Linked DNA regions of Canis lupus familiaris. The protein of the gene in region 2 interacts with the protein of the main gene of each other region in a biochemical or structural test. Links are inferred from orthologs where the notes say so. Each region holds a gene or a part of one and is shown on either strand. Other genes may lie near its edges.

Evidence for each region. The genes of interacting proteins can lie anywhere in the genome.
Region 1: the proteins of PARD3 (region 2) and junctional adhesion molecule B form a complex in vitro, tested with the Homo sapiens proteins (2 studies listed by BioGRID and IntAct, with this or other methods). The link is inferred for Canis lupus familiaris from reciprocal best matches to the Homo sapiens genes PARD3 and JAM2.
Region 3: the proteins of PARD3 (region 2) and JAM3 form a complex in vitro, tested with the Homo sapiens proteins (2 studies listed by BioGRID and IntAct, with this or other methods). The link is inferred for Canis lupus familiaris from reciprocal best matches to the Homo sapiens genes PARD3 and JAM3.

The regions. Positions count from the first base shown.
Region 1 is NC_049252.1:21,727,042-21,731,812, reverse strand, and holds part of junctional adhesion molecule B, read right to left. Parts: intron 3,492-4,771; coding exon 3,384-3,491; intron 638-3,383; coding exon 485-637; intron 1-484. UniProt on the Homo sapiens protein: Junctional adhesion protein that mediates heterotypic cell-cell interactions with its cognate receptor JAM3 to regulate different cellular processes. Plays a role in homing and mobilization of hematopoietic stem and progenitor cells within the bone marrow.
Region 2 is NC_049223.1:2,362,254-2,367,477, reverse strand, and holds the start of PARD3 (partitioning defective 3 homolog), read right to left. Parts: upstream 3,632-5,224; 5' UTR 3,586-3,631; coding exon 3,466-3,585; intron 1-3,465. UniProt on the Homo sapiens protein: Adapter protein involved in asymmetrical cell division and cell polarization processes. Seems to play a central role in the formation of epithelial tight junctions. Targets the phosphatase PTEN to cell junctions.
Region 3 is NC_049226.1:1,112,196-1,116,966, forward strand, and holds part of JAM3 (junctional adhesion molecule C), read right to left. Parts: intron 4,319-4,771; coding exon 4,166-4,318; intron 3,681-4,165; coding exon 3,478-3,680; intron 2,576-3,477; coding exon 2,476-2,575; intron 841-2,475; coding exon 711-840; intron 617-710; coding exon 562-616; intron 259-561; coding exon 223-258; 3' UTR 1-222. UniProt on the Homo sapiens protein: Junctional adhesion protein that mediates heterotypic cell-cell interactions with its cognate receptor JAM2 to regulate different cellular processes. Plays a role in homing and mobilization of hematopoietic stem and progenitor cells within the bone marrow.

The DNA.
Region 1 (4,771 bases), on a different chromosome or scaffold from region 2:
TAGCTGCACAATAAATCCTAATTTCCCTTCTTTACCCAATTTCTTTTCTTTTTTCTTTTCTTTGTTCTTTCATTTTCTTTCCCTTTCTTTTCTTTTTTACCAAATAATTTCTAATACTTTCCCTGACCTACTTTTTTGTTTTAAGGCTTTTCCGTCATCTCGTGTGATTGGATTTTATATGTAAGAGATAGACCCTGTATACTGAAAGGTACTGAAAAATAAACTGTTAGGGGAAAAACTCCTGTGTAGAAGATAGGGCCATTAAGATTTACCTTAACCTGAAATGAAAAGAGATTTTTGTCACAACAAATTTCTAAGAGTAAAATTTTGGCAGCGAATGAGGTGAAAAGGGGCAATAGCCAAGATTTTACAGGAAAGGTGGTGTTGGTGATTTCTAGAACTTTCCTAACCAGGGCCCCAGGTGGCCTAGGTGATGGGGATGAGGGTGGAGAACAGTAATCCTACAGCTACAAGCACATCACACCTAGCACTTCTAGAGTGACCGTATCTTCTTCCAGGTTTTGGCCTTGCTCAGATGGGGCACTAACTTCACAGCGGTATTTCCCAGCATCATTTCTTGTAACGTTTTTGATCCGTATACTGAAGTCTATCATCTCGGCTCGATCTTTAAAATCACCTTTTAGAAAAAGAAAACAATAATGTTAATAATAATGCAAATAACTTTCTATATACTACCTTCCTCTAGTCACTTCATTCAGTGACCAAGGCATTTGTTTCCCTATTAATGAACTCAATTTAAAACTCAAAAAGGACTCTTAAGTATAGGAAACAAACTGAGGGTTGCTGGATGGGGGCATGGGGTAACTGGGTGATGGGCATTAAGGAAGGCACGTGATGTGATGAGCACTGGGTACTGTAGCAACTGATGAATTACTGAAAGTCTACGTCTGAAACTAATGACCTATTATATGTTGGCTAATTGAATTTAAATAAAAAACTCAAAAAGTTATATGCCGATGCTATTTCAAATTTCTTCTTCTTTTTTTTTTTTTTTTTTAGAATAACAGTTCACAAAAGAACATTGGGTTCAATATTCTCATATTTTAGAAGATTCAATCCTCATTCTTGCCTCATCCCCTTTCTAATAAGCTTATATAAACATTCACACCTTCAGAAGGCACTGCAGCATCTAGTTAATTTAGCTGGAACAGTAACTTTATGTGTGGTGGCCCACATCATACTGCCCCAAAAGAAAAGGTGAATGGGTCTTAAAAACACTCTTTTGATTAGTGTTTGGTAGTAACATGTACAGAATGAAAATAGTGTTTTGTAAAACATTCAGGTGCTAGATTGGCAATGGTAGAAAATTCAAGCAAAGACAGCCCTGTGGCCTGCAGCAGTCCTATCCTGACAGATGAAAACAAGATGGGTATTTTAAATTCTTTATGGACTTTAAACATCTGTTCACATACTTAATTCTTTTAAAATTAAAGTAATGCATAGTATTCTAAAATAATAACATGCTTCCTATACTTGTTATATTTCCAACTTTTAAAATGTTTATAATGGAAAATTTCAAGCACACAAAAAATTACGGAGTATTGTAAAATAAAACTCATCACCCAGCAATAACAGTAACCCATGCATGGTCTATCTTATTCCATCTGTACCTCTAAACACTGAATTATTTTGAGGTAAGTCCCATACATCATAGCATTTTATCCATTATTATCAATACTTTAAAAGCTCAGTATATATTCAACAGGAAAACAGCAAGTGGAAAGAAATGGATAAAAAATAAAGAATTAAAAATAAAGCACTGGTTAAAGATAGTTGTGTTTACCCTTCCCCAACCAGAAGTCTAAGTCTTAACTCTGTAGAGCTCTTAGCTATGGCCTACCTTCCTAGATGGTGATATGGAAATAGGGTAACATTATTACCACAGAACATCTCACTTCCACACCATCTCATCTTCCTTTCTCTCAAGAGTCTAATCTACTGGGTCAGCAAGAACCACTGCATTTTATATCCTTTAGGACTGAGTTGAGACACGAAGGGTCTAGGGCCTCCATGGTGTTCAACTTTCTTCTGTTCTCTGTCCCGTTTTCATGGTGATTATGCTTTAGGTCTCAGTCATTGTTGGGTTCATCTTACACTTACAAAACACATTCTCTTTCACCATACATAAAAATAAACTCAAAATAGATTAAAGACCTTAATATGAGATCCAAGACCATAAAAATCCTCAAAGAGAAAACCTGTGCTCTCTGACATTGGCTGTAGCAAACAGTTTCTAGATAGGTCTCTGAGGAAAGGGGGAAAAAAGCAAAAATAAACCATTGTGACTATATCAAAGTAAAAAGTTTCTGCATAGTGAATGAAATAGTCAACAATGTTAAAAGGCAACATATGGAATGGAAGAAGATATTTTCAACTGATATATCTAATAAAGGGTTAGGATTTAAAATACATAAAGAACTGAAAACCCAAAAAACAAGTAATCCAATTAAAAATGGGCAGAAGACATGAATAGACATTTCTCCAAAGAAGACATACAGATGGCTAACAGACACATGAAAAGATGTTCAACATCACTCATCATCAGGGAAATGCAAAACAAAACCACAATGAGGTATCACCTCACATCTGTCAGAATGGCTAACAACAAAAACACAAGAAATAACAGGTGTTGGTGAGGATAAAGAGACAAAGGAACCCTTGTGCACTGTTGGTGGGAAAAAATTAAAAACAGAACTAGCCTATGATCCAGGAATCACACTGGGTATTTGCTCAAAAGACACAAAAACACGAATTCAAAGAGATATATGCACCCCTATCTTTATTGCACCATTATTTACAACAGCCAAATTATGGGAGCAGGCCAGTGTCCACTGATAGATGAATGGCTAAAGAAGATGTGGTAGATATATATAAAAATGGAATATGGCTCAGCTATAAAAAGAATGAAATCTTGGTATTTGCAACAACATGGCTAGAACAAGAAGGTAGTATGCTAAGTGAAATAAGTCAGTCAGAGAAAGACAAATACCATATGGTCTCACTCATATGTGGAATTTAAGAAACAAAACAGTAAGCAAAGGGGAAAGACACACACACACACACACACACACACACACACACAAAACAACAACCCAGGAAATAGACTCTTAAGTATAGATAGAGAGCAAACTGATAGTTACCAGAGGGAAGGTGTGTAGGGGAATGGGGGAAATAGGGGACAGGGATTAAGAGTACACTTATCATGATGAAAATAACATAACATAAAATAAAACAAAATAAAATGATTAAAAACCCCACATTCTCAGTAATTAGCCCTTCCCTGTTCCCATTGGTAAGTTAAAGAACCCAGGCTGTACTTGGTGTTCTCTTGCTCTCACCTCATCAAGTCTATAGCTTCTTACCTTGAAGAGCCTGTTGGTAGTAGACAAAGGAGACACTCCGGCCCAGTTTCTTCCACTCTAATCTGGAGGAGATGGTCTTCTTTGGGTATTTGCAGGCTAAAATAACCTCTGGGAACAACAACAAAAAAACTTGTTTTCTAATGGTCCCTATGAATTTATATTTTACTTAAGTAAATTTTTAAACAGCCATAAGCTACTCCTTTATACTTCCATCCATCCATCCATAAATTACCTCAATGGGCACCACGTTGGCTTAACCCAAAGATGAACTGAAAGCATTATAGCTCTTCTCCATAGTAACTGCATGACACTATGCTACTGACCCTAGTTCTTGAGACTCATTATCATCTGTAAAATAAGATAGTATCTTAGAGAGTTGTGAGTCTTCAAATATAGTAATACATGCAAAGCATGCATGTCTGGACACGGTAAGTAATTTAAAAATGGCAGTTATGATCAATTATTTATCATTTATCCCACTATTCCCAGTCTCAGTCATCAGGGAGTTTATAGCCTGGTGGAAGAGGCAATTAAGATAAAGTAATTTTGTTCCATTGTGATAAGGGCCATGAGCGCCATGGAGGTAAACAGAGGCTGCTTCACATCCAGTGCCTAAGAAAAGCACTCAGTCCAGCCCATGGGATCCACAAACATTCTACCAACATGCGATGTTCCCACTCAGACCCATTCTTGGATGATCCTCTCTATGGGTATGTTGCTACAACCCCAATATAATCTATTAAATCATGGATTCCTACTCCTTATCTCTATCCAGATAAATTATGAGAAGATTTAATCTTGGCATCCAGTTTAACTGCCTCACTGTAGCTCATTTAGGTCACTTTATTACAGGAAATTTACTGCACTTACATCATTAAAGAATTCCTGGAACCTCCAAAGGAACCCCCCTCTATTAACTGTCCAAACAAGATGACTGGGGGGGGGGGCAGGAGAAAGTCCAGTGCCTATCAGCCAACTGCTCTGAGTTGCCAAAGGAAACCTCCAGTTGTAAATATTTTTAAAAGTATGTTTCAGTCAGGCTCTCTAGAGCGTTACCTTCATATCTCTGAGGTTTTTCCCCCCATAACGCATATAGTTTGACCCCAAAAGTACATATCTTTGACTAGAAAGAAATTATGTTCAAATCTTTTCCATACATCTGATTTTGATGTAGCAGATTTGATGTCATTTTAAAAGACAATTCAGGATACTACATGATATGGTCGATTAGAGAGCAATACTCATATTACCCCAGATTTTATTAATATACACATAGATATGGAAAAAGAGCCTGTACAAGTATGTATGAAAATATTTAACCCAGTGATGATTTCTGTGTGATAGAATTCTTCTAGTTATATGTAGTCCCTAATTTTCCCCTTAGTTCC
Region 2 (5,224 bases):
GTCCAGCAGGAAAAATGAGAAGCCTCAGGGCCAGACTTGATCCACTCAAAATTAAGGAGTGGCCAGCAAAGAAAACTTTGGAAACAAAGGGCACCACACTAAAAAGTCACTGCAGTTGGTGCTCTGCACTCTGTGTTCATCAGGACTCAAGGATGAGTCCACCTGCAGGCACTAGAAGAATGAACACATACATACACAGCAGACAGCCCTCCAATTCTAAGTCCTCGAGAATAGTTCCTGCAACATAATTATCAGTATCTAGCAGAACACTCGCCTTAGACAGGGTCTAGATGAGGATGTGTGGATGGAGATGGAACAGCCAAAACATTTTCACCCATCGGTGATCATAAGCAGAAAAACATTTTTTCACTGGAGGGGGAAAAAAAAAAAAAACGCTATGACTAAGTGTAAGCCTTTAAATATCTGCTTATTGAAGACATTTCCGGTATTAAGTCACACCACTCCACTGTCCAGAAAAATTGATTTGTTTAACCTGAAAATAGCTGAAATATAATGTCAAATATAATAGCCCACCACACTACAAAATACATGTTGCAGAGAAAGCTTAGTGACTTGTTTCCCTTTTCCTTTTTTCCTTTTGGGGGAAACTTAGTTAATTTTTATACAAAGCCATAAACATGATCTTTCTACATTTTTCCCCGCCAGATGACAGTTTGTCATGCCACATGTCACCTAGCAACTTAAATACCACTCTACAGCTAGCAGGCTACCCAGGTTCTTCATACAAAATGTATCTTGTCCTATTAAACAGTAAGAGGTAAAGAAGAGACATTAAGAGTTGAAGCAAGTGTTAATATGTGTTTGCTTCACAATCACCTTAAATAAGGTGGGAGAAGTGAGAAGAAAGACGAAAATTTAGTCTCAACCATTACCTAACAACTTAAGAAGAAAAGACACAAATGAACCTGGAAGTCACTCAAGCTCTTGCAACATCTGAGAGTCAACAGTCTTGTGATCCAATGATTAACCCTTGTGTACTACAAAGCCCATCTTAAAATTCACCCACTGAACTGTGAACTTCACTGAAAGAGGCTTTAAATAATTTTAGAACACCCTGACTCATCTCTAACTCCTCCCACTCATTTGTATCCCACTCCAATGCTACCATCATCCTCTGAGAATCACTCTTCCTTCCTTCTCCACCTGGTGTTCCATCTCAAACCCTCTAAAAACTCAGCTCGTGTGCTCTGGGATGCCTTTCCAGACTCTCTTAAGAAAACTGCACTGCCTTCTCCATGTTCCTGGGTCCCTAGGAAAACTATCACTAACATTTAAAAACAAGGTCCAGATCGATCTATCACGGAGACTCCTCAGTTACATTTACCCAATATCCCAGATCCATTCTCTTCTCAGTGCACCACAGCATGACAGTCCACACCACCGTCTCCTTCCCTTGAATGACCACAGAGCCTAGACTCTTACACTCCAACTTCCACAAAGCAGCCAGTGGGCCCCCTAGATGTCCAGCACCCAGAACAGTGCCTTGAATATAGTAAACGCTTAAGAATTTCCGTGGAAGGGACACCTGGGTGGCTCAGCAGTTGAGCGTCTGCCTTTGGCTCAGGGTGTGATCACGAAGTCCCAGGATCCAGTCCTACATCGGGCTCCCTGCATGTTCCTCCCTCTGCTTGTGTCTCTGCCTCTCTCTGTCTCTCTCTCATGAATAAATAAAATCTTTAAAAAAAAAAAATTCTGTGGAAGGAACGAACGACTCCATCAAACTATATTGGTATTTCGACCAATATCCACGGTGTGCATAATGGAACAACTCACTTTATGCATGTAAAATTAGTAAAATGAAAGGAAATGTCCTCTCTGTGTAGGAACACAGGCACAGTGCTTAGGACATATTATTGTATCTTTCTTTCCTTTCACAACTTATTTTGGTTTCCAAAGTATATATGCAACCTGATCATTGATTTAGAACATTCAGATCATAAACTGCCATTCATAAACAATCTTTTAAAATGCAAAACGTAGGTTTAGAGAATATGCTTCCCGTTGCCAGCAGTGCAAGATAAACGGGTGTCCAACTTCCACTAATTTTATTTGGTTTTCGATAAGTTAAACCAAGTGCAAGGAACATTTTAGAGCTGTTACATAGAGTCAACATCTTTCATCTTCATGTCAGGTTGCTAAAAGACCCCCCAGATTATCCTCAAAAGGCCGTATTTCCGCTATTCTTCCCGATATATACTAAAAACCAAACCGTGTAAAATGTATTTCTGCCTTAATTTCAGACGGCACGGGAGGCCGCGCCCTGTGTGCACTCAGGCCTGCAAAGTGCCGTCCCGTCCCGTGCCGTCAGCGTCACCGCCTCTCCAAGCCCCGGCGAGCCAGGCCACCTCGCAAGTGGGAAGCGCGTGAAGCGAACATGCTTTCGGCCCGACGTTGCTCCCGAGCCCAGGAAACGTCCCCGGGTGCTCGACAGAACTCAGGGGCTCGGCCGTCGCCAAACACGAGGGCCGGTAAAGCAATTCAACAAAATGTCTTTTCACTCGTGACACATTGTAGAAGAATGTAGTTAAGTGGAGACAGTGTTACCCGTCCACGGGGAAGAGGGGGCCTCCCCGCGGCCTCAGGCCCTCGCCGCAGCCCCGCACCGCGGGGAGCCGGCCCGGGCAGGCGGGCGCGGGGGTCCCCCGCGGAGAGACCTTCGAGCCGGCGACTGGCCTCGGGGGCTGCCTTCACGGGGCCCGCCCGGGGCGTCTCCAGCACCGCGACTCCGCGCCTGGCAGCGTGCACGGGCCGCGCGGGCGGGTGTCCCTCCCGGGGCTTCCTCCGCGACCGCGGCCGGCCACGGCCCCCACCGGCTGCCCGCGCTGCCGCGGCGACCTGGAGGCAGCAGCTGGCGGCCCCGGCCCCCCCCCCCCCCGGGCGGTGCCGAGCGCGGACGCGGCCGCTCCCCGCCGTGCGCCCAACAAACTCTCCTCCAACCTCAAAAGTTCCCGGTCCGCAGCCTCTGCCGCGGGGCGCGGGGCGCGGGGCCCGGGGCGGGGAGAGGCCTGAGGCTGGATTTCCAGCGCCCGCAGCGCGGCCCGGGGGAGAGCGGGTCCCGGCTGGGCTGCACGGCCGGAGCCCCGGGAGCGGAGGGGGGCGGAGGGGGGCGGAGGGGGGCGGAGGGGGGCGGAGGGGAGGGCCGCCCGAGAGGGGCCGCGGGGTCCTGCGCGCTCGGGCCCGGCTGCCCCCGCCCCCGCCCGGCCCGGGCCCACCACTCGGCCTCCCGCGGCCCGGGGCGGGGGGCGCCCGCGAGGCCCGGCCGGCCGCCGCACTTTCCCTTTCCCCGCCTCCCCTCCGTCTCCCTCCTCCCTTTTCCAGGAAGCGCCATATTGATCCCGGCGCTTCCCCCTCCCTCCTCCTCCCCGTCCCCGTCCCCGTCCCCGACCCCGTCCCCTCCCGCCTCCGCCCGCCCCCGCCCCGGCCCGCGCGCCCCCGGCCCCTCACCTTGGCGATGGCCTTCCGGTAGCGGGTCACCGCTTGCTGGATGAGGCTGAAAACTTTCATGTGCCCGTCCCCGCACGGCACGACCACCCGGGTCCGCCCGAAGCACACGGTCACTTTCATGCCGCCGCCGCCGCCGCCGCCGCCGCGGCCCTCGCCCCCCTGACCGCGGCGGAGCTGCCCGCGCTGGGCGCAGGGGCGCGGCGGGGCCGGGGCGCGGGAGACAGACCCGGGCGCGGGCTAGCGGCGGCGAGGGGCCTCGGCTCGCATGCCCGGCCCGGCCCGGCCCGGCCCGGCCCGGCCGCCCTCCCCGGCCCGGGGCCCGCCTCGCCTCTCCCCGCCGCGGCGCCCGCAGCCTCCGGCCACCTGTTCGGCGTCTCGGCGCGCTCGGCGGCGGCGGCCCGAGGCGGTGTGGCGCTCGCGCTCCTCGCTCCTCGCTCCTCGCTCCTCGCTCCTCGCTCTGGCTCCTCGGGCCGCGGGGGCAGGGGGGAGGGGACAGCAGCGAGGGGCGGGGCGGGGCGGGGAGGAGCGGGGCGGGGCGGAGCGGGGCGGGGCGGAGCGGGGCCCGGCACACAACACCGCGCACATGCGGCAGGGGAGGCGCGGGGCGGAGCGCACGCCCGCGGCCCACGCCCGCGGCCCACGCCCCCGCCCCCGCCCCCTCCCCTCCCCTCCCCGCCCCCCCCCTACCCCGGGCGCGGGCGGCCGCGGGGCCCCGACCGCTGGGACCCGCCCGGCACGCGGCCTCCCTCCGGGCCGCCCCTCCCCCGCCCCGCCGACCCCCGCCCGAGGCACCGCGGCCCTCCCCGGCCCCGCCCGCACCCCCGGCCCCGGCCCCGGCCCCGGCCCCGCCCGCACCCCTGGCCCCGGCCCCGGCCCCGGCCCCGGCCCCGGCCCCGGCCCCCTGGAGCGCCCCGGCGCGGCGCGGCGCGGCTGTGCTGGTGCGGTGGAGCCCTCCTCGGGGCGCCGCTCCACACCCCCACCCCGACACCCGGGGTCTCTCCAGAGCCCACCCCCTTCCTTTGTCACTTTTGATCCCTTCTCTCCTGCTGAGGGTTCGCGAGAAATCGTTCCTGGAGAAAACACTTTACTCGTGGCGCCGCGGACTGAAGGCACAGAGACGCTCGGAGAGGAGCCGTCCCCACGGAGCCCCAGGAGGACGGATGGGGCTGGCCAGGTTGTCCAGCGGAGGCTTCCCCTCCCGCCGCCGCCGTGCGCGCGCGCACACACACACACACACACACACACACCCGGGCCCAGGGTTCTGCACTGGCTCGCTGCTTGCTGGGCTGCAAGGCCGGCGTAGGCTGGTTGTGTGTTAAAAGCAAAAATTAAGAGCATCTGCTCTGGGGAGAGCTTCAGGAGGCTCTGACTCGACCTGGCCTTTCTCCAGAGGCCACACTATGTACCTTGAAGTTTCCTATGACCGACCCCCTGATGAGCCTCCCACTTCAACGCCTAGAATTCTAACACCCGCAATTCAGGTAATTCTATTTCTCAAAATTCTGCAACAGGAGCAATCCTAACACCACTTCATGAACGATATGCTCAGAATGCCTTGGGGGAAGCTGTGCAACGGGATCCCCACCTAAATCTCAGGAAGAGAGAGCAGCTCCATAATGAGTTACATGCACGGGGGACATGAAACATTTTAGAAGAAAGTGGACCGAGTCAAGAAAAGTAACTAGCGCTGGTCTCTGTCTCAGTTATGAGCCATGATTCCTTAATAACTGTATGTCCCTGTGTTTAAAGAATGGCCAAT
Region 3 (4,771 bases), on a different chromosome or scaffold from region 2:
CAGTTTTTTCCTTGTGATGACCGTGCCCATCTCGAGGAAAATTTTTTTATTCATGTGGCTTGTTAAAAAAGTAAGAAAGGAGTAGCGGTCAACTTTGGCCAAAACAAAAAGCTTTTGCGCAAGTGTCTAGCTCTGTCCGGGTGCACTTGGCTCCCAGGCCGCTCTTGCCAGGAGGTTCTGGTAGAGGTATTTGCATGTGCTCCCCCAGCCACACCGTCACAGTCAGATGACAAATGATGACTTGTGTCTGAAGTCGCCCTGCAATGGCAGCACAGGTTAGACACGGCCGGCCGCCCACCCTCTGGCAGCCCAGGGCCCCGAGGGGGAGGGGAGAGGGAGCGTGGACGTCGGGCCTGAGCCATTTCCCTAAAAAAAAAACTTAGAGCAAAATAGATCAAATGAAACCATTCTTCAAGAGGGACACCTACGAGAACCTGCGCACCGAACGCCAGAAGTGTGGACAAACTGTCCAAGGACAGCCATCACCTGCTCTGCTGGAAAGACCTCGATCTCTAGGTTTCCTAAATGACGTCTGCTCTGTTGCCTCATTCCTCTCCTTACCTCCTCATCTGTCCTGATATAGTTCACGCCATCTGGCTTCCCTGGACTCTTGTAACTGAAAAAGGAGGAGAAAGGGCTTCAATGACTATGACTTCGCGGGACGCCCGTGTACACTGGGCTTCGTCACCCAGCACAGAGGACAGGCTCACCTTTCGCCATTCTGTTTATTATTGACAAAGTAACCCCGTCTGTATGCGCAGCAGATGCCCACTGTTATCAGGGCCAGGACGGCAAGGACCACCAGGATCCCACCAACGATGCCGCCAACGTTCAGGTCATCTGGGGGAAGAGGGGTTGAGAGAGGGGAGGAACATGCCATCCGGTCTTACCACAGCCACCGATCCCACCAGGCCTCCCTCCTTCCTGCTCTTCCCTCCTCCCCGCTCCACCCTCATGCGCCCCCGCCCCCCCCCCCTCCCCCAGGCTATAGTAACACCACTTCAGTCTTTCCAGCCCAGAACATACAGGACCCTGGATCCCTGCCCTCACTTGTAAAAAGTACTGGGACCACCACAGTGCAAATGCTGTTACACTTAATCCTGTATTAAAAGGGGCTTAGCCACATATAGAAGGCTTATGGTCCTCCGGCTAATCCCTGAAAATATTATTAATGGAGGAAATGGTTCCATTTTATGAAGACCATTAGGAGCCAGGAATCCCCAAGAAAAAAAATCCCTAATTTCCAGGGATTCCCTCTGCTGTGCGTTATCTGGAGGAAAAGAACTAGTTTCGCACAGGACTGAAAAGTAAAAATCTGAGGTGGGAACGTGACCTTTCACTACCAGCTGCCTGGCCTCCTATCTACACGCCCCGTGGAGGAAACCCCTTGACGCCCTCCTCCCATTTCCACATACTTGGCAAAGGTACTCAGTCCCCATCAGTGTGGGGCACTGGGGCTGTTGCCTTCATGAGAGGATAATGCGGTGGAAAACAGGCAGCAATATATCCGCCTAAGCAACGAACTTCTCTTACTACGGTGGTTTCGAATGTGAGTGTGCAATTAAACACTGAAACTCTGACTTTACACTGTCCGGCCCCAAGCACTCTCACTAGAGATTCGGTGGGTGTGCAGCAAAGCCCAAGAGTCTTCCTCCTGCCCTGGAGCAGTTTCCTGCATCTGACAGATGTCAAGAATCCCCTGGAAACAGTTTAACACGCAGAAGTTCCCAGACCGCCCCTGGGGACAGAGTCCAGCGCCTGGGGTGGTGCCTTGCAATCCAACACTTCTCACAATCTGGCAAGCTTGGAAAACACTGCTCTGGGGTCAGTTATGCGCAGGAAGGAGGAAGGGGTGCCCCAGGTGGTGATGATGGTGACATGCCCCATCCGCCCCATCCTGCCTTCCAACCTCCCCTGTAGAACCAGGACTCCAGAGACGGTGTCCTCACAGAACAGGGTAACTGGGTGTCAGCTGACCACAAAATGACGGTCAACTAAATAAATTTCTGGAGACCTTATATAGGTTATGTCTTGATAAGTCTATCAATTATCAAAAAATTGGAGTTTATTTAAGCAGGTGCCACATGCTGCGTGAGCCCAACATGGGGCTCACACTCCCCTGAGATCAAGGCCGGAGTCAAACCGTTAACTGACTGAGTCACTCAGGCACCCCAAAATGGAGTTTATTAAATTCAGTTAAAAGTGATATGAGTAACTATGTTCCCAACATCAGAAGACTCCAGAAAGTCTATTTTGAGGAGATAAACATATTGCAAGTACCCACTTATTAGTCATTTAGCTGTTACTCAGACTTTTCTCATCTGTCCTTTCAATGTACCCGAGTGGGTTTTGGGGACTCCAGTCATCTCCAGAAGAAAGCTGACCACTTGTCTAAACTGATGGTCTAATATTAAATTAAAAACGTTCTATCCACTTGACAGTCTGCAGATGAAATATCTTCACGAAGTAACTCACAGACTTCCATCTGCTGCTCCTCACATCTGGCCGAGCCTGCGTCATTGGAAGCGATGCAGTAATACTGCCCAGAGTCCTCCTTGTGAACAGCACTGAAAACCTGTTTCGGAAATGACAGTCATGAGTCCAAGCAACGGGGTGGACCCCCTGGGCTGAAGGGAAGAGCCTGACCAACGGGCTAAGTCCAGAACGGAGCAAGAGGTCTGCTCAGTTGTCTGGGTTCCTGTTCAGCTTCCTAGTCACCGTCCCGGCTCTCCCCCGATTCCTTTCCCAAAGTCTCGCCCAGGAGCTCCTGAAGAGTGAGATCTGCTCAGGGTTTGGAGATCTCGAGGCCTGGCAACATCCAGGATGCAGGCTGAGTTTTGCCTTGCTTCAGGGAAAGGGGCTCTGGTAGAGGATTATCCCTCAGCAACGCCTGGGCGATACCAGTACAGAGGATGCCATCCAAACCAGCTCGCCACGAGTGCGGTTAGATACACCACGGATCGGGAGGCCTGGCTGCAGTGGAGCCCAGGGAGAGGCTGCGGAGGGGGCAGCCTGTCCTCCACACACGACCCATCTTACTTCACCTCTCCCCTCACTGGCTTCCCTCCACTGGGTTACTTTGAAGACCATTCTAGACATGTTTTCCCCATAAATTCTCCAGCAGGCATCTCTAAAACATAAGGACTTCTTCAGATGGAACCCAACTGCCCGGTCTCTTGATTTCTCTAGGTGGTTATTCACATCAGGACCCTGACGTCACCAACCCATTACATTGATTTCATACACCTCCACAATCCCCTTTATTCTACAAGTTTCCTTTCCTCTATTTATTCCCTGAGCGCTTATTTGCTTATAAAGAGGAAGAGAGGTTCATTTTTCCCAGACTCTCCAACAGTATGGGGTTTTGGCTCCTGTCTTACAAAGCTCATTGTGTCTCTTAATCAGTGCTCTTTCCACACGAGGTACCCCTTCCCCAACAAAGATGTTTCTAGCCTCACCTCTGAGAAGAGATCTTACCAGAGTGCCTGTTTCAGAGTTTAAAAGAAAAGAGGAGTTTCGAAATCTGGGATTGGCTCTGGAATCTGTGGGCAGCGGCACATCATTGCGGTACCAGCTGTAGTGGGGCCGGGGGTAGCCCTCACTCTCCTGGCAGTGCAGCGTGGCCGTCTTGCCCACAGGGACAGCCTTCGGGACTCTGCACACAGGAGATACTGGCTTCACTGTGGGAGGAATACGGGTTGGGGTTTCAAGTCAGTGACGTAGAAGGATTCTTCTCAAAGCCCACAATTAATCTGTTCCAAAACCAGGAGAGCCAGCCAGGCGATGCCCCACTGCCATCCCCATGTCACAACCACAGGCTCAGATCTGCCTCCGCATCTGCCCCCAGCTCACCCCCCCACAGATAACCCCACAGCACGTTTCTGACGCCTCCACCCCCCTGAGGAGTGCCTTCTACAACTGGTGAGGGGAGTAGCTGGAGCTCCCCTTACCTTCTCACCTTGCACCCCAGCTCAGGCGGTTTCAGCGCCCACAACCGCCCATTGCCTAAGTCCCGTGATGCCCCGAGGGATGTAGCTCTAGAGGGAACGAGTAAGAGCTGATCTTTTATTTTAATTCTTATTTATATTTCCCCTTCCAATCTTTTTTATGGACAGACTCATGAGGCCTGAGAGGGGGAGTGTGTTAACTTCATGTGAGTTCCTACCTTGTACAGTTAACTCAATGACAATCTCATCAATTTCTTTGCGGTCGTTTCGAGCAACCACCTCACAGCGATAAAGGGCTGAATCTGTCCGGGTCACGTTCCAGATCCTGAGGGAGGTCTTCCCCAATAGTTCTGCACGACCTGCCAAATCTCCTACAGAAAAGAGGATACAGACACAAAAACAGTGTTTAAAAACATCTTTGCCATCTGAAGAAGGCGGCTTCCGGGGCTAGCGCTGCTTCTTAACGCCTCAATGAGTAGACGGCACACCAGCTTCTGGGTCCGCTCCTGTCCAAGAGAGGGGAGCTGAGGGCGCTGTGCCTGGCGTGTAAGAGGACTCGTTACATGGGTCTCTGTTGTTAAAGCAGGGACCTAATTTTCTTCTCAGCATTCCCAGCCAGGATTTCCCATTAAAAGAGAAAAAAAATCAAGCTACATTAAAAAACAACCAATATTCATAAATGGTGCTGGGATAACTGGATCTCCACATGCAAAAGAATGAGGCTGGACTCCTACTTCACACCACATACAACAAAGACCTTCCTACAAGAGCTAACATCTGGGGACGCCTGGGTGGCTCAGTCAGTTAAGCATCTGCCTTCCACT